2 linked regions of the Pelodiscus sinensis genome follow. The protein of the gene in region 2 purifies or fractionates together with the protein of the main gene of each other region. This does not show direct contact. Links are inferred from orthologs where the notes say so. Each region holds a gene or a part of one and is shown on either strand. Other genes may lie near its edges.

Evidence for each region. Proteins that work in one complex are often made in the same cells at the same time.
Region 1: the proteins of TRAF3IP2 (region 2) and CD40 purify together in Homo sapiens (affinity purification with western blotting, with the first as the bait; 3 studies listed by BioGRID). This does not show direct contact. The link is inferred for Pelodiscus sinensis from reciprocal best matches to the Homo sapiens genes TRAF3IP2 and CD40.

Annotation. Positions count from the first base shown.
Region 1 is NW_027465895.1:136,638-146,121, forward strand, and holds the start of CD40 (tumor necrosis factor receptor superfamily member 5), read left to right. Parts: upstream 1-5,146; 5' UTR 5,147-5,233; coding exon 5,234-5,275; intron 5,276-6,622; coding exon 6,623-6,704; intron 6,705-7,235; coding exon 7,236-7,361; intron 7,362-7,482; coding exon 7,483-7,629; intron 7,630-9,484.
Region 2 is NC_134713.1:79,753,600-79,763,378, forward strand, and holds the start of TRAF3IP2 (E3 ubiquitin ligase TRAF3IP2), read right to left. Parts: upstream 3,661-9,779; 5' UTR 3,481-3,660; intron 759-3,480; 5' UTR 584-758; intron 1-583. UniProt on the Homo sapiens protein: E3 ubiquitin ligase that catalyzes 'Lys-63'-linked polyubiquitination of target protein, enhancing protein-protein interaction and cell signaling. Transfers ubiquitin from E2 ubiquitin-conjugating enzyme UBE2V1-UBE2N to substrate protein.

The DNA of each region.
Region 1 (9,484 bases), on a different chromosome or scaffold from region 2:
GTGTCTGGCCGTCCCGGGATCCCTGGGGTCCTCCCCACTCACTGCAGCAGGGCCCCTCCGCTTCTCCGCTCCGCCATGGCCAGCTCGTGCAGCCGCTGCCTCTCTCGGTCCTGGCGCTCCTCCCTACAATCCTCCAGTTCCTTTAGCCTCAGCTCGATCTCCAGCCATCGCAGCTCTGCCGGGGAGGACCCGGCCCAGGACGAACCGCTGCTGGCCGAGAGTGGCCTGGTGGGCACCGCGTCTGTCTGGCGGACTCCAGCCCCCCTCCTGCCTGAGAGCCTGGGACACTCCCAGGGGGTGTCTGGCTGCTCCCTGTGGAGACAGGATCCAGGTCCCTGGATGGGTCATGCTCTTCCAGCCGGGCAGTCCTGGGCCTTGGTTGCTTTCCCCACGGGCAGGCCCCTCTCTCTGCACAGCCCCACCAGGTCTGCCTTCAGGAGCTGGGCGTAGGCTGTCTCCTCGCCAATCCCTGGGGTGCAGACTCAGCGGCCAAGTGCTACAGCGCCCCACGACTCCCTTCACTCTGCCTCCCGCACGCCTGGCTCATGCAAGCCCCTTCCTTCTCCTGCGCCTTGTTCCTTGCTGCTGGAAGCTCCATCCAAGGGGTGCATCCCACTGCTGCCACCACTATGGTGGCGTGTCAGGGACCCACCTGATCCTGCACCCCCATTGCAGCAAGATGAGACTCCGCCAGCCAGTAGAACGGGGCGGGGGGGTTATTGCTTTTCCAGGACACAGCCCAGCACAGACGTGATGTGGCTACAGGAGTCAGGGCCAGGCAGCCTCAAGCCCCTTGGGGGAGGGGTCCAGTGCCCCCCTCAACACCCGCACTCAGCTTACTCACTTCTCTCCATCTTTTTCCAGACAAGACCGCCCAGCTCCCAGGCCCTGCCCCCCAGCCAGGTGGCGTCTGCACCGCCCTCCCTTTGTCTCTCCCCGGGAAGAGCCTTGTTACCTGCCCAGGCTGGGCCCGGGTGTCTGGGCCAACACACATGCAGGTGAGTCCGTGGGAATCCCAGCCCAGTGCAGGGGACCCCGGGTTACAGAGCAAACAGCCCCCCACAACGTCACAATAGACTTTGGGGCAGTGATCTGGCTGCTCCCCTTAAAATCCAATAATGTGACACGGGGCCCCCCAAGGGTCCAGGTCACCCTCCAGTCTCCCGCCACGAAACTAGCCTGCAAGAGCCGGGTACAACCAGCCCCGTCCCTGTGCCACCCGCTCGCTCTGCCAATGGCCAGGGGCCCACCCCAGCACACACGACACCAGCGGCAGGCACCCCAGTCCTCCGGCAACAGCACTGACCCCCCTGGCTAGGAGCCTGGCTCGCACACGCCTTTTCCTGGCCACATTGCCCTAGGGACTTCGCCCTGGTGACATCGCCCTGGTGAATTCACACTGGTCGCATCGCTCTGGTGACATCGCCCTGGTGACATCGCCCTGGTGAATTCACACTGGTGACATCGCTCTGGTGACATCGCCCTGGTGAATTCACACTGGTCACATCGCTCTGGTGACATCGCCCTGGTGACATCGCCCTGGTGAATTCACACTGGTCGCATCGCTCTGGTGACATCGCCCTGGTGACATCGCCCTGGTGAATTCACACTGGTCGCATCGCTCTGGTGACATCGCCCTGGTGAATTCACACTGGTCACATCGCTCTGGTGACATCGCCCTGGTGACATCGCCCTGGTGAATTCACACTGGTGACATCGCTCTGGTGACATCGCCCTGGTGAATTCACACTGGTCGCATCGCTCTGGTGACATCGCCCTGGTGACATCGCCCTGGTGAATTCACACTGGTCGCATCGCTCTGGTGACATCGCCCTGGTGAATTCACACTGGTCACATCGCTCTGGTGACATCGCCCTGGTGACATCGCCCTGGTGAATTCACACTGGTGACATCGCTCTGGTGACATCGCCCTGGTGAATTCACACTGGTCACATCGCCCTGGTGACATCGCCCTGGTGAATTCACACTGGTCACATCGCCCTGGTGACATCGCCCTGGTGAATTCACACTGGTGACATCGCCCTGGTGAATTCACACTGGTGACATCGCTCTGGTGACATCGCCCTGGTGAATTCACACTGGTGACATCGCCCTGGTGAATTCACACTGGTGAATTCACACTGGTGACATCGCTCTGGTGACATCGCCCTGGTGAATTCACACTGGTGACATCGCTCTGATGACATCGCCCTGGTGAATTCACACTGGTCACATCGCTCTGGTGACATCGCCCTGGTGACATCGCCCTGGTGACATCGCCCTGGTCACATCGCCCTGGTGACATCGCCCTGGTGACATCGCCCTGGTGAATTCACACTGGTGACATCGCTCTGATGACATCGCCCTGGTGAATTCACACTGGTCACATCGCTCTGGTGACATCGCCCTGGTGAATTCACACTGGTCACATCGCCCTGGTGACATCGCCCTGGTGACATCGCCCTGGTGAATTCACACTGGTGACATCGCCCTGCTGGCCCATCAGTGTGTGGCAGAGATGCCCACGAGTGGCCTGGGCCATAGGGGCAGCCCTGCGCTCACCCCATGGCCCTGGTACATGCCCTGGCTGGGCCAGGCCACCTGCGCCTCTCTCCTCTAGAGCAGGCCACCCAGGGACACCAGGCTCCAGGGCCTGAGGCAGGGATCTCTGCTGCTCCCCATGCCGGCACCCTGGCACTGAGTACTCCTGGCGGGCCCTGGGCCCTCCTGCCATGGGCCTGGCTGCCCTGGGGCAGGGAGCTGCCCGCAGGCTGCATGGGCAGGTCCTAAGCTGAACTGGCCAGCCCGGCGCTGATGAGGAGCAGAGAGAGCCCGAGAGCTGGGGGTCGCCCCCCTGGATGTGTGGGCCCATCCCTCTGAGGGGGTGCAGTTTGGGTCAAAGCTCTGAGCACCCCCCACTGTCAGTGGCATCGGAGCAATTGTTAGGGTGAGGGGGGGCTAAGCTGTGTCCCGTTAACCCCCGTCTGCACCCCCTTAACTCCATCTGCGACCCCCCCACCGCCGTCTGCACCCTCTTAACTCCATCTGCGACCCCCCACCGCCGTCTGCACCCCCTTAACTCCATCTGCGACCCCCCCACCGCCGTCTGCACCCCCTTAACTCCATCTGCGACCCCCCCACCGCCGTCTGCACCCTCTTAACTCCATCTGCGACCCCCCACTGCCGTCTGCACCCTCTTAACTCCGTCTGCACCCCCTCATTCCGTCTGCACCCTCTTAACTCCGTTTGCACCCCCTTGCCCCTCTGAGCCCCTCGCCCCGTCTGCACCCCCTCATTCCGTCTGCACCCCCTTAACTCCATCTGCGACCCCCCCACCGCCGTCTGCACCCTCTTAGCTCCATCTGCACCCCCTCATTCCGTCTGCACCCTCTTAATTCCATCTGCGACCCCCCCACCGCCGTCTGCACCCTCTTAACTCCGTCTGCACCCCCTCATTCCGTCTGCACCCCCTTGCCTCTCTGCGCCCCTCGCCCCGTCTGCACCCCCTCATTCCGTCTGCACCCCCTTAACTCCATCTGCGACCCCCCCACCGCCGTCTGCACCCTCTTAACTCCGTCTGCACCCCCTCATTCCGTCTGCACCCTCTTAACTCCGTCTGCACCCCCTTGCCTCTCTGCGCCCCTCGCCCCGTCTGCACCCCCTCATTCCGTCTGCACCCCCTTAACTCCATCTGCGACCCCCCCCACCGCCGTCTGCACCCTCTTAGCTCCATCTGCACCCCCTCATTCCGTCTGCACCCCCTTAACTCCATCTGCGACCCCCCCACCGCTGTCTGCACCCTCTTAACTCCGTCTGCACCCCCTCATTCCGTCTGCACCCCCTTAACTCCATCTGCAACCCCCCCACCGCCATCTGCACCCTCTTAGCTCCATCTGCAGCCCCTCATTCCGTCTACACCCCCTTAACTCCGTCTGCACCCCCTCACCCCGTCTGCACCCCCTCTGCACCTCCTCATTCCGTCTGCACCCCCTTAACTCCATCTGTGACCCCCCACCGCCATCTGCACCCTCTTAACTCCATCTGCACCCCCTCATTCCGTCTGCACCCCCTTGCCTCTCTGCGCCCCTCGCCCCGTCTGCACCCCCTCATTCCGTCTGCACCCCCTTAACTCCATCTGCGACCCCCCCACCGCCGTCTGCACCCTCTTAACTCCGTCTGCACCCCCTCATTCCGTCTGCACCCTCTTAACTCCGTTTGCACCCCCTTGCCCCTCTGCGCCCCTCGCCCCGTCTGCACCCCCTCATTCCGTCTGCACCCCCTTAACTCCATCTGTGACCCCCCCCACCACCATCTGCACCCTCTTAGCTCCATCTGCACCCCCTCATTCCGTCTGCACCCCCTTAACTCCATCTGCGACCCCCCCACCGCCGTCTGCACCCTCTTAACTCCGTCTGCACCCCCTCATTCCGTCTGCACCCCCTTAACTCCATCTGCAACCCCCCCACCGCCATCTGCACCCTCTTAGCTCCATCTGCAGCCCCTCATTCCGTCTACACCCCCTTAACTCCGTCTGCACCCCCTCACCCCGTCTGCACCCCCTCTGCACCTCCTCATTCCGTCTGCACCCCCTTAACTCCATCTGTGACCCCCCACCGCCATCTGCACCCTCTTAACTCCATCTGCACCCCCTCATTCCGTCTGCGACCCCCTCACCCATCTGTGCCCCTTTAACTCCCGTTTGTGCCCCCTCACCTCTGTCTGCGCCCCTTATCCCTGTTTGCACCCCCAACCCCCATCTGCGACCCCTCATCCTTGACTGCACCCCCTTACCTCTGTGTGTGCCCTCTGACCCCCGTCTGCACCCCTTTGCCCATCTGTGCCCCTCGCCCCGTCTGCGCCCCTCACCCGTGTCTGTGCCCCCTTACCCCGTCTGCGCCCCCTTACTCCGTCTGCGCCCCCTTGCCCGTCTGTGCCCCTCGCCCCGTCTGCGCCCCTCACCCATGTCTGTGCCCCCTTACCCCGTCTGTGCCCCCTTACTCCATCTGCACCCCCTTGCCCGTCTGTGCCCCTCGCCCCGTCTGCACCCCTCCCTGCCCCCGGCTGGGGCGCAGAGAGCCAGGCCCAGAGCCCTGCAGGCTGGCCGGGGAAGTCCTGGGAGGAGTTTGGCTGCTCGGGGAGGGGCGGCCCAGCCCCCTTCCTGGGCGGTTCGAGGGCTGGAGTTTATAGCAGCTGGCCGGTCCCCTCCCCGCAGCCTGGACGGTCCAGCTGCGCCATGGCCGGCCTGCTCTGCCTGCTCGGGGGCTGCCTGCTCTGGGTGAGTGCTGCCCTCGCCCGGCGCCGCCCGCTGCAAGCCTGGCCCGGCTGGGCTCCCGGCGCCCCTCTGCCTCCTCGGAGCCAACTCCCTGCCCGGGCAGCCGGGGGCTGGCACCGCGCCACCTCCCCCCCGCCGGCAGAGCGCCCGCCAGCCCGGTGCCAGCCCAGGCCCCGGGGAGGGGGGGCCGGCGGGGGTCAGGCCCGGGCGCTGAGCACACGGGGGCCGGCGGGGGGGACGCGGGCTGGCTGCAGTCGGCTCCCTGCCAGGTGGCTGGTTCCTCATTTCTGTGGCTGGGAATTTCCCTTCATTCTCTTGGATTTCCCGGCCCCGGCCGCTCTGCCCTGCTGCCTGGCAGCCCGGGTGGGACGGGGACGCAGGGGGGGCGGGCAGGGCCTGGGGCCCCCACTGCCCAGGCAAAGGGCCCAGCCAGAGCTGGGGCCAGGCCCCCGCCTGCTCCCTGGGTGAGGCCCAAGGCTTCGCTTTCACTTTCTTTCTGAAGTAGGGGGCTGGAGCAAGCCCCGGAGACAGAGCAAGACCAGCCCAGCCCAGCTCCGGCCAGGGAGCCCCAGGGAGCCCCAGGGAGCAGGCCAGGGGCAGGGCGCAGGGGCAGGGCTGGGTCCCGGGCGGGGAGCGCGCCGGCCGGCCAGGGCGGAAGGGCAGCCCGGAGGCAGCAGGGCACTGGCCGCGGGCGCCCAGCGTCGCCGGTTGCAGCTGAGCGCGCGCCAGGCCCTGGGCATGCAGCGTGAGCCGGGGCGCGGGAGCCGGCTGGCCCTTCCTGCCTCTCGGCACAGGACCTGCGCTCCAGGGTTCCCGCCCAGTTCCCGGGGCGCCAGGCCAGGCCTGCAGGGCGGAGGGGCTGGTTCCCCAGCCCGCTAGGGACGTGGGACGGCACCGTCGGGCTCCGCGCCGCCCCTGGAAGCCCCAAGCCCGGCTCTCCGAGAGCGACCGGCGGCAGCACCGGGCCCCTGCCCTGAGAGCGGCCGCGCTGCCCATGCAGGGCTGGGGCACGTCCCGGTGGGGGAGGGGGCTCCCCAGAGCCCACAGGCTCCTCCCAGCACCGCCCCGTGTCCATCCGTGGCTCGGCCCTGCGGCAGGGAGGGCAGCTGGCAGCCCGCGGGCAGGGCAGCCGGGGTCCCGGTCCTGTCAGCGGTGCCCGGCGTCGCCCTGGCGCGGGGGAGGCAGGGCACCGGGGCGCCAGGGTCCCGTTGTGGTTCCAGCGGGCGCCGGCAGGCAGCTGCGTCTGGGAGCGCCGGGGACGCAGAGGCTGGGCAGAGCCTGTGGGAGCCAGGGGGCAGGAAGAAGGGGGGGTCCTGGCCCGCCTGAGCTCGCCGCTCTCCTCTCTTCCAGCACTGGGCGTCTGTCAGCGCCTTGGACTGCAACCTGCAGCAATACGAGCACCAGGGCACGTGCTGCAGCCGCTGCAGGCCAGGTACGGAGCCGTGTCGCGCCCCAGGCAGCCACCCCAGAGCCGGGCTGGGGCCGCAGCCTTGATCTGCTCCGGGGCGCGTGCAGGGGGGCAGGGCCGGGGGCAGCCGGCGTCCCTCCCTCCGGGGTGTGTGCAGGGGGGGCAGGGCTGGGGTAGCCGGCGTCCCTCCCTCTGGGGCGTGTGCAGGGGGGGCAGGGCTGGGGCAGCCGGCGTCCCTCCCTCTGGGGCGTGTGCAGCGGGGGCAGGGCCGGGGCAGCCGGCGTCCCTCCCTCTGGGGCGTGTGCAGGGGGGGCAGGGCTGGGGCAGCCGGCGTCCCTCCCTCTGGGGCGTGTGCAGGGGGGGCAGGGCCAGGGGCAGCCGGCGTCCCTCCCTCCAGGGCGTGTGCAGGGGGGGCAGGGCCGGGGCAGCCGGCGTCCCTCCCTTCAGGGCGCGTGCAGGAGGTGGTGGGGCAGGGCCTGGCCATGTGGGGCCCTTGTTCTCTGGGGGCTGCCCCCCGCCCCGCCCCCCAGTAACAGGCCGTGCGCCGCGTTGCAGGCTACAAGCTGCAGTCTGACTGCACGGCGGAGAGGGAGTCCGTGTGCGCAGCGTGCGAGTCGAAGCACTTCCAGCCTGGCTGGACGAAGGAGAGACACTGCTCGCCCCACAGATACTGCGACCCCAGTAGGTGCCTTGGGGGTCTCCTCCCTGGGGTAAACCGCCCCCGAGTAATGCTCAGGCCCCCCCCACTGTTGGCTCAGCCCCCGGGCCCTACAGCTGACCTGTGTCTCGCCCCTTTGCCCAGACGCGAAGCTGGTCCTGCGGCTCCCCGGGGACGCGCAGAGCGACACCAAGTGCGAGTGCGAGCTGGGGACGTTCTGCTCCTCCCACGAGTGCCAGACCTGCCTGCCCATCTCTGCCTGCCAGCCGGGCCACGGAGTCGCTCACATAGGTGAGGTGGTGCTCGGAGCCAGACAGAGCGCGTCCCAGCCGGGACCCAGCACAGCCCGAGGGGCACCCAGCCCCATGCGAGCCCCACCGAGGCTGCCCCCGAGACCTGCCAAAGCCTGCCCTGGCATGGGGCACCCAGGGGAGATGGGTACAGGCTGCAACCACTCCATGCGTCATCCCCAGATGCCGCTGTCCAAGGGCTTTGGGAGCTAGGCCCTGCCCCGCCCTCCCCTGCATGGTGCCCTGCCCCGCCCTCCCCTGCATGGCGCCCCGCCCCGCCCTCCCCTGGCACTGCGCCCTGCCCGCCCTCACCTGAACACATGTGATGGACCAGGCCGGTTTGAGCACAGCTGAGGGTGTCCACTCAGGGCGAATTGCTCAAATCCAGGGCTCCTTACAGCCCCCAGACTGGTGACCTCTCCAAACAGGCCACAAACCAGTCCCACAGAGCGCTTCAGCAGCCTGCCTGAAGCCTCCTGAGCAAAACCCCTCCGACACCCCAGCAATATCCGTGCCCCAGGTGGCCCCGGGCCTCATACACCAGTGGGGGGTCCTAGCACCCAATCCCACCTACCCCGAACAAGTCCTGTCCGGTTCCAAGAAACCAGCCACAGATCCCTGGTCAATTTACCCTCTGGACCTTACCCACAAATCACGCTGGGCCAATCCTTTAGAATCTATATCTAAAGGTTTATTATCACAAGAAAGAAAAGCATGAGAGCAAGTTTGTTAAAGGATAGTACATTACATGCACCGAATCTCCCAGTCCTCGATGCAGGCTCTAGCAGAGATGTTGCAGCTGCTGGTTTAAAAGTCCTTGTTGCGCATCCTACGATCAGGATGGGTTCACAGGTCTTCCGGGCTCTTCAATCCCTGCAGTGCTGCCTCTGGGATGAAGTGCTGAGCTGAAGACAAAAATGAAGACCACCACATGGCCTATTTATCCCTCCTTCCTGGCCTCTTCTTGGCTGCAGCAGGTCACCTGGCCAGAGGCCAATCTCTGTGTTCCCTGCTGGCAGCCCTCAGGAGTCAACCCTCATTCTGTGTGTCCTTGGCCCATTGAGAGCCATTGTCCCACAGGGCCTCGCTGATTAGCATGTCCATAGGCCGGGCTCTGCCCAATGCTCAACCACATGCAGGGAAATATTCAGTCTCCACACAGATTACAGATTCCTAACTCCACACACACACATTCTACAGTCACATGACCAGTGTCCATAGGATTAGCAGACAGTGAGCTTCTATTCAGCACCCCACATGGCCCCTTTTATACCATTTTTGGGGCCAGCAGTGACCTGGCTGCTTCCCTCCAATTCAGCAACGTGACACCCCCAACGCAAAATTGATGCAGGAAGTGATGCCAGTAACATCACTGAGGGCATCACAGGCCCCCCCCCCCCATGCTTTGGCTCTGTCTCATCAGGTGTTCTAACCCAATGTTGGAAACAACAGCACAGAGCTGGATCAGCGTATGAGATGATTTTGCCCCGAGCTGAAGAAAGTAGTGACTTTATCTAGGCCAGCTCTGGCAACTCTCTGAACCACAATTAACATTGTGTGAATGCAGGTATTCCCATCCCAAATAGTGAAGGCATTTTTGCACTTAGCCATGAAAACAGAATGGTGGCGTGCCTCAGTTTCCCTTTTCACACAGGACCTTCTGGCTGGAACCTTTTTTGTCCTGTAATAAGTTCCAATATCACACTGTCCCCTTACATACCGGCTGTCGTTCGGTACATCTCCAGACAGATCACATGGTATTTCCATAGGATCATGCCCATTGTATACCTCTACAATTCTCTGCAACAATAATCCATTGGTTACAAGAATTAACATCAGTAACAAGAACAATCCTA
Region 2 (9,779 bases):
CATGACTCCCTTAATAAAGATATGCCTTTAGAAAATAAGATTTTCAGGGCAGAGACTCTGCTATGTGCTTGGGACATTTCCCCCATACATTTAATGACATGTACTTCTGGTAACTGCTAGATAAATAATGTGGTTTTTGTTTTACTATATAGCATGCTAGTTAAGGCTGCTAAATGACAACACGCCTGCATATCACATCAGTAACAAAGTGAAAGCTTCTGAAAACAAGGAAATGAACTGTAAACAACACAAATCCTGAACTGCCCACAAAGTAAACACAACATGCATATGGACTACAATGAAAAGCATATTTTATCAAAACATAACTAACTTTGACCACTGAATTACTAATTTTAATATAATATTTTTATTGCAGTGGCAAAAAAAATGTTTTTTACAAGGTATTTTTAAGTGGAATACATTCTCAGCTAATACACGGCTAGGCTGGTACTCTTTAGGCACGTCCCAGAAAGGGTGGGGGTGGGGACACAATGCCCCAGAGAAAACACCAAGACATGCAGACTTAGAACTGGAATGCCTTCTGGAGCTTTCCATTGAACAGCGGGTATATACACACCACTACCTGTCAACGCTGGCTGGTATATGGGGGAACCAACACAGTCACAGATCTCCGTAATTCTCCACTCCTCACTGCCCTTCAAGGGTGGCGTACATCTCCATGGGAAGTAGCGAGGGTGCTATCTCCATGTGCTTTCTTGAGTATATGGCTTGGAATTCTGCCTGGCTCTTATGCTCCACTGAAGAGGTAACAAACATGTCACTTTAGTATCTGTGTCTTCCTCTAGCTCTAAGTCAGAATTGCAAACCATTGCACTATTAGAATGCCATGTAATATCAAAGGATCTTGAATTTTCTTCAGGCTTTGCTGAAACATTCACCTTTTGCTGCCAAAATAGGGCACTATAGCAGAGAAGCTGGTTTCAAACTTAACTATGGAAATACTGCCACATCTCCTTAATAGTATGGGTTCTGGAAAGACTGCAACACTGTGTGTTGGGTCTACACCAGTCCAGCCATTGGACACTGACATCAGCCCAGCACTAGGCAGCCATTCCCCTGTTTCAGGCTTCCCCCTCAACACGTTTCCTTGCTTAGGGTCATGCCATGATTATTTGTGTCCAGTTCAGTCATATCCAGCTGAAATCCCTTTTCTTTGACTCCACATAGCCATCTACAATAGACGTTCGCAAAAACTGAAAAAAATCCCCAAGCCAAGCATATCGAGAGAAGCACTGCTGATAATGTTCAATGTACTCAAGACCTCATGCTGAACAATGTGCTGGGGACACACAAAAGATGACGACAGGAAGAACTGAGGTCTTACTAATCTTTCTCCCCTTCTCTAGTGGCATTTTTTGAGCTTATGGAGCTAGGAAGCATTTTATTATTTCTTTGCAGACGGCACCAAAAAGTCTGTACATTCTCTACCTAAGGGCTTATTATTGCTAGGAAGGGATTGCTGGTTTAGCTAGACCAGCAAAACAGTCTAGTATAGATGAAGCTTATATTAACTGCCAATTCCTTGAGCAAAATAGGCTACATCAGCAAAAGTAAAGTTGTGCTGGCATCACTAGGTCTTACCCTAGCACACAGGCGAGGAACCTTTTGGTTGGGGGCTGCTGACCTACAGAAAAATCAGTTGGGGGGGCACACAAACTGAGAAGCAAAACAACCCCAAACCAAACCAAACCAACACCTCACTGACATGGCCTCTGACTGAGAAGCAGAAAAACGTTCCCCACATACCTCTCATACACCAAATCCCAGGGGGGCCTGGGCTAGTAGATTTTGTGGGCCTCTCTAGGCTCTGGGTGGGGCAAAAAATGAGGGGTTCAGTGTGTGGGAGGGGCCTGCTGGGAAATGGGCTTGGGTTGTGAGGTCTGGGTGGGAGGGAGGGTGCAAGGTCTGGGGGATTGGGGTGGCAGGTCTGGGGGAGAGGTAGGGTGCAGGAGAGAAGTGCGGGTGCAGAGTCTGGGTGGGAAATAGGGTAAAGGAGTGGACTGGAGATGGCAGGGCTTGGTGGGAGTGGAGATCTGTGCAGGAGGGCAGTGCAGGAACAGGCTGAGGGTTGGAGGGTCTGGCAGGCCGGTAGGGTGCAAGAGTGGACTGGAGGTGGGGGGTTTGGGTAGGAGGGGGTCCAGGAGTAGGGTATGGGTGTAAGGGCACAGGCCTCAGGGATGCACTTGGCTCCATGTCCCCTGCCGCTCCCAGGCATAAATTCTGTTGCTCCGATTGGCTACGATTACGGCCAATTAGAGTGGCGGGGGAAAAAGCCTCCAGGCAGTGTTTTGCTGTGCTGCCATTTCCCCAGTTGAGAGGGGGGCGAGCAGCACCCATGGAGCTACTTTCTCGTGTTGCCAAACAGAGCCTGTGGGTCGGAACCAGCCCCGGTTTGCCTGACTCCATCTCATGAGACTCTTGGCTCCCCATCCTTGAAGTGGTGAGTCTGTGCTGGCGCTCCAGCCCCACGGGGGAGGGGAGACACAGGGCTGGAGCGGCAGCACAGGCTCCCCAATACAAGCTCAGCTCTGGATCCAGCCCCCACCCCTGCACATATACCAGCACATCTATGCTGGGAAAACATCACCTTCTTGACATAATTATGTCAGTATCCATTGTTTATGTAGCTCAGGCGTTAGTCTGTAGGAGACACTTTGATTTTGTAAAATTGTGTAATTCCCAGCAACTAGTTGCAGCTGTAAGGCACAGTAGGTGGGGGCAGATTTACTGTTCCCACTCCCTAGCAAATGGTAGTGAGAATTGCCAAACTGAGTATCCTGAAAGGGAAGTTAACATATCAATTATACAGCTGATGTTTTTTAAATTAATATCAGATCACTTGCAATCTGTTCTGATATAAACATCAGGTTGGAAGTGTTTTATCTGGGTTTATAATCGTATTTCTTCTTTGTTTTCCATAATAATTCTCTCTTCAACATTATTGGAAACAGCCCCTCATTATGGCTGAGTAGGCAACATGGTATGGGCTTGCTGTACAAAATCGCACTGTTCCAGTGGTGCCACAGTTCCTTCTGAAGCTGCCAAATGCAGGATCACTGGCTAATCCCTGTGTGCGTGTGAGGGGGGGGGGGGAACCACAAAAAACTAGAGGTGAAGGCTGCTTTCAAGCTACCCTCCAGCAGAATGCCCATGCCACGACTAGCCAGAATTAGGCCTGTGGCTGGTGTTTTACAAACAGCTGTACAAAAGCTTGGGATGACAGCAAAACACTGCCTATGTCATCCATTCCCAGAGGGTTTACCCAAAGACAGTCCTGATCCAAATCTGTTACGCAAAGTAGCCGAAGCGCAGTGTGCTGGGTTCTAAATTCACTCAGTCATTACTGGAAAAAATAGGTGAAGTAAAAAGGAGGTTAGAACCCAGAAAGAAAAACAAGCGGCAAAGTGGGTCAGTGGTTAGTAACAAATAGCGAGCAGCAAGATCTTTAAGAGCTCTTACCTTGGGGCTAGCAGGGACACACGCTGGACTGATCAAGAGTAAAGAGCAACTGCTGGGCTTTCTCCTGCACTCTATTTTCCTGTGGATCTGTGGTTTTCTTTTTTCCTTTTACGCACTTCTCTCTCTCAGGTAAGTTGCAGAACAGGCTCTGCAGCAGGAAGTAGAACTTTTATGCAAATCACAAATCAGAAGTGGAAAGCCTCAGGCTGAAAACCTCTTCGAGGGGGAGTGAATCAGTAACAGAGGAAAGCTACTTTGAAGTTAAAAAGTCCCTTGAATTGTTCCTGTCCCAAGAAGTCAGGCTACTGTTCAAACTGAACAGATAAATAATTGCAGGGGAAACCCAATATGGTTTTCAAACATAATACACATAAGTGGAAGAAGTGTCTGATTTTTTTAAATACTAGAATGTACATTGTCAGTGCTAAGCTGTCTGCTCAAAAATCATGAGTCAGACCACCAAAATCATGAGAAATCAAAAGAGTGAATCACAACTCATGTGATTTAAAGGTGGGTTATTTTTGTATGCATTCTGATTCTTGAGTCTTGAACATTATGCTCAAGCAGCATTTTCCAGCTTCTCTCCACATCCATGACTAGGAACATTTGTTGTAAGTAATTAAAGGTGAAGTTCTCATGCACTCACAGCAGCTAGGACTTTAATTAAAACATTAAACAGTTGACAACATTTCATGATAGATTTTAGAATACCTTACAGTATCATCCAACTTGTCTTCTTTCCAGGCAGGGTTTTCATCACAGTATATTATCTAGTGCTTTCTCCAGTCTAGCTGACATGGCGGAGGGAAACTGACTTTTACCACTTCCCAGCGCAGCAGACCTCACTGTCAGGCCTGTTAGCCTACATTTTCTTCTCTTAGTTTCACCCCATTCCTCCTACTTATACTCCAAGGTGCCACATGGGTGTTTTCACCTTTTCAGTATTTGTAGGCTGCCATCAGGTTCCCCAGCCAAGCTATACATATATAGCTATTTCAAATCACCCCTTAGAAGTCAATTCCTCCTGAAGTTTGATGTTTTTATTGCTCTTTCCTGAACACCCTCTCATTTGATTACTATCTTGGTTAAGAGGTGCCTATAACTGAAAGTAATATTTCAGATGTGGCCGTAGCAGAGAGAAGGGAGGTAACAGAACCTGTTTCCCACTGCCTTAAGATGCCTCTGTGTATTTTCTGATCATACACTTTGTTACAATGACATGAAGTTTCCAAGCACATATTAGTGCTTTGAGTAAGCACTTACCTGCCGCTACTTCATAATACAACCCTTAAGTCAGGCAAGTCTTTCCTGCACCATGCCATGCCTAATTTACTGGTCTTTGTCACTCATCAGTCTGATTCGGCTTTACTGCTTCTAAAGTTTCTACCCTTATTTTGAAAGTGCTATGGCACTCTATAACAGTGTTTCTCAACTTTTTTTTATAAAGTACCCCTTTAAAAAAAGTATAAGTACCCCCCACTACGTACAGTTTTCAGACACACCATTTCTTTTTTCTACCATTGCAACACATTTGCTTAAACAACTTAATTATAGCCAGGTGGGTGATGAAATTTTTGGGCGTAAAAAGTACAAAAATAATAAAGTGCTGTAAAACTTAAAACAAAAATTCAGTTTTCTCCAAATGTCAGTTGTGTTGATGTATCCCCCAGACATATCTCAAGTACCCTTAAGGGTACTCATACCATTGGTTGAGAAACACTACTCTACAATACAGGTTGAACCTCCCTAGTCTGGCACACTCTGGTCTGGCAACATCAATAATTTTAGTTAGCTGGATGCCCATTTATCATGGGTGTGGCCAAGTTTCTTGTGGTCTCAAAGTTTGTTTACCAGTCCTGGCTCTCAGTGTTCTGTGCTGTTATTTAGCATTAATTTACCCCTAAATGTCTTCTAAGAGCCCAATAAGCAGTGAAAGTGTTGGTAATACTGCTAAACAATATTGACCTCCCATAGTTTGGCAAATTCTCTGATTTAGCACCAGTCAGGTCCCTATGGTGCTGGACTGAGAGGTGAAAGCACTGTGCCTTCCACTAGCAGCACTGCAGTATTTTGGGCTGTTGCTGTAGAATACTGTAGCATGTTTCCTGGAGAACCTCACGCTGCAATCATCATTCACAAGAGTGGATGGACTCTTGATTGGCAGGAAAGATTCCTGCTGAACATTGTGTAATGCTCCCTGTCACCTCCCCCTTCTTTCCACTAATGGGCTGGGCATGCTGCCTCTCTTAGCTTCCCGTATCAGCCTTACAAGTGAAAGGCTAGTGTCCATAATTGAACCCATATTTCCCCTCTGGGACATTGCAGAGCAATAATATGAGGCCACTGAAACAAAGCCAAAATGGCTGATTGCTAATAGTTTCTTCCCTTCTCAGATTAGCATCAGGTCTATGGCTGCTCATGCCCATGGCAAACTGGAAAACACGTGCCCTTCACTTCCCACAAGCCCTAAACATTTTGCTGCTCCAGGCAACCACCTGTTCTGCCTGTATAACAGAGCCAGCCTTGGATGTGACGAACATTCCTACCAATTAATGTGGCATTAGTAGTCATGCTATTAGCATGGCCTTTTAATCAGTGTAAGTTTGAAGCCATCTGTTTGTAACTAAGACGTGGTGTTTTGCTGCATGCTTATTTTTCACAGTGAAAGCCCTTCCTCTGACAGCTGTGAGCTTTGGCATTTCAGTGGCACAGTTCTGTAAGACTGGGTTTGATCTGAGAAACTTCCCAAATCCATATTTTACAAAGTGCAGATTTGATAAGTGCAGCTACAGTGAGGTAATTGTTGGTTGCAGCAGGCTGGCTGGAAGAGCTGCAGCATGCTAAGCACAAAGACTAGGTAGGTATAAGGTCTGGAGTTTCTGGCTGGGCATATCAGTGATGGTGACTCATCCAGGGCAGGGCAGGCAAATACCATATTTACTGATGTATAAAACCAAGATATTTATGCCACAATTTTAAGGCAAAACTTTTGGCTCATGTACTAGTCAAGTGTGGGAAAGAGAGGTGTTCTGCTGAGTCCCCTGTGCTGCTTCCTGTTCAGGGACGTCCCCCTTCTCCATAATCTCTTATCTGTGGAGCACAGGGATGGTGGGAGTAGGATCAGTTTACATGTAGGACATATTCGTTAATCTTTGCTGGGAAGAGAAGGGGTTTAACTTTATGGGAGTTGGTTTATAAGCAAGTATATACGGTAGAACCTTGCATGTTCATCATTGTCTAACTGGGGAAATGAACTGTGAAGGAGACCAGAGAATGTTTATCAATCATTCATGCAGCACATTAACCAGTGCTCTGACTCAAGGGCAAGAACTTCAAAGTTATAACTTTGTGGACATAAATGGCACTGTCTGGCTTCAGACTCTCCATGCTGACCCCTCCCAATTCCACCATTTAGACAAAGCAAACAGGGATTTTCAACAGATGATATCTAGTGTTACTAGCAGTCCTCCCAGCATGTCTGAATTCCAAAGTGTAAACAACAGGGCTCCCCAACCCAAATAGGCTTTCAAAGCTGAAAGCGTTGTGAAGTCAGTAACTGTTTTTTTTTTTGTTGCAAACCTGGTGTTTGTAGTTGTCAGATGACAGCCAGCTGCTGAAATGTACCAGGGAGAGTTCTCACTATGAGCTGACAGCTGCCTGCTGGCTACTCACAGCCTTTCTGACCCTGAGTGTAAGCAAATGAAAATAACTCAGTTTCTGGTGGCCAATTCACGGTTTCACTTCTGTTTCTATGGAAATGGGCACAGACTGGCAGAAGAAAAGGGACAGAGTGCGTGTGTGTGCTTACATGCGCACATGCGCACACACATACAAATGTTTTAAAAAGCATTTTTTAAGGAAACATACATATGTAGTGAAAGAATATTGGATCCCTGGACTCCTCAGGTTAGGAAGGAAATTGAACCATCGAAAACAGCATTATGGCTTCTATATAAACACTAATTTAGGACCCTGTCCTGTAAACACTTATCAGTGGGCACAATGCATACACCACCAAAGTCAGTGGGACTGCTTAAGGTAGTACATACTTTACCTGATAGTCTGTATTTGCAGGACTGGACCTAAGGGGTCATGAATACATTTATCATGCCTGGTCTTTTAGGCTCTTCAACAGTAACAACAACAACCTGTTTAAACTAATATCTCAGAATATGAGGTTATGGCAAACAAAGGCTGCATTAACCTGCTCCAGGGGTGAGCTTGGTCCCCTGACCTCAGTGTAGTAACAAGCCTCTCTCTTGCTCCATGCACTGGTGGTGGGATTAAGCTGGCCTAGTGAAGATAAGTGACTTGTCCACGCTCACACATGGAACTGGGAATAGATCCCCAAAATCAGGAGTCCTCATGTTCCTTAATCAGAAGGTCATCCTTCTTCTTACAAAATAACAGCAAGGAACAATTCCCACCTATCTCAGTCAAATTAGAGGGTTGCTCGCAGGGGGCTAATTAGAACCCACTCAGGAAGAAACTGGAGTCTGAGATCTGCTGGTGATTTCCTCAGGTGAATTATTCTAGGGGACCAGTGGGCTGAGTTTGCCTGACTGACACCAATCCAGGCTTTGTTAGCAAAATACCTGTCACCAGTGACAATCATAGGACATGCCAGATGGGAGTCTCATCTGAGCTAAATGGATTGTAGCTACTCCCCCTGTGTGTCCACTTCTTCTGCAGCAGGCTGCTGGCATTCTGCCAAAGAGCAGCAAGCAGCAGCTGATGGGCCTGTGGTTAGTCTGCACATCCACTATGGACAACTGGAAGGGAACTCTGAGCCACAGGGGAGCCAAAATCAGGATCTCAACATGTGGAGTGCCCAGTTTATACCTTTCAGTTAGCTCTGTTACAGTGCAGCAAAAGGGGATAGTCACAATCACAGCCATACAGGCAGCAAAAACTCAAGTTTTGGTGCTGCAGCTGATTAGGCAAGTTGAAATGGGGAGGGCAATATTTGACAGTGTTTTTATAGTGCTGAAAAAACAATAGACATCTTTAACAGGACCTTCCAAAATCAGCTCCTGGTCTCACTCATGTGTGGGTATGGGAAGAACTGCCTGTAGGCAGAGAGCATTGATACTCACAACCCCAACATTTATTTGTGTAAAAGGCTTTCTTTACAATACGTCTGGGTCTGAAATCTCTTACCTGAGCAGCAGCATCAGGAAGGCTCTGCTCTGATCCCTGTGGTGCATCTGCGCCAGAGTCAAACGCACGCTTCCAATTTTACCCCGTGCAGGGATGAAAGAAGCAGAAAACAGCCAAAAGCCTGTGAGAAGGAGAGGAGGTGAACCTAATGAGCAAAGTGGAATCCCTTCCCATAGAGTATCCTAGATGTCGATATAGTGCTTCTCACTCTGGTCTGACAGCACCAAAGAGAGTCCAGTGTGTGTGGTCCTGTAGAGGGCATGGCTGGCAGGAAGATAGAGCCATGCATAGGTCACTTTACCCAGCATCAGTAAAGCCATGATGAAATACCCCAAGAATCAGTATTGACCTCTTGCTGCAGATCGCCTGCGCTTGGATCACAACCTCTAAAACGGAATGCATGTTCAGAGTGGCAAATGCTCCAAGATCCACAGGTTTGTCTCAGACCTTAGGACAGTTACATGCAGAAATGTTGGACTAGGCTCTGTTCCTTTTATGGCTTGCCAAAGCTCGCTCATAGGATGGCATGATGCAGAAACTTGGTCTCTCACCTAATTTGGTCCCTGTGAAGAATTTTTTTTTCCACAAGAGGTGGCATAATCCTACTGAATATTTATTTTTAGTGAAACCTACACAAATAAATATCAGTGCCTACCAACCTAATAGTATAACTCTAGTGGTGGAAAAACCCTTCTCCTGAGGGTATACGTTGCTATCATCTGTTCTGTGGAGATTAAGAGGCTCCCTTACAGTTGATTCTGCATCTCAGATAATGAGCACCTGTCCCCTCCTCTCCCAAGCCACATCAATAGTCTGTTGCTTTCTAAAGGCCTAAACCTACAGCTTGGAAGTTTTATCATTGACTTCAGTGGAAGCAGGCTCATACTCATAATTGCTTTAAAGCCAACACTTCTGTCCCCTCATTTTACAGTATTTCAAGCTGAATGTGAGGTGTCATTTGGACTGTCCATCTTATAAAATGCATATTCCTATTCAAAGAGCAGAACTTGACTGCACATGCTTGACAAGGCACATAACAGGAAACCTTTTTATTAGACATGGTCGGTGAACAACAAGATCTGTAGGATTTGGAATATTTTTCTCTTGATAGGTAGAAAATGTCACTAGCAAGCATGGTT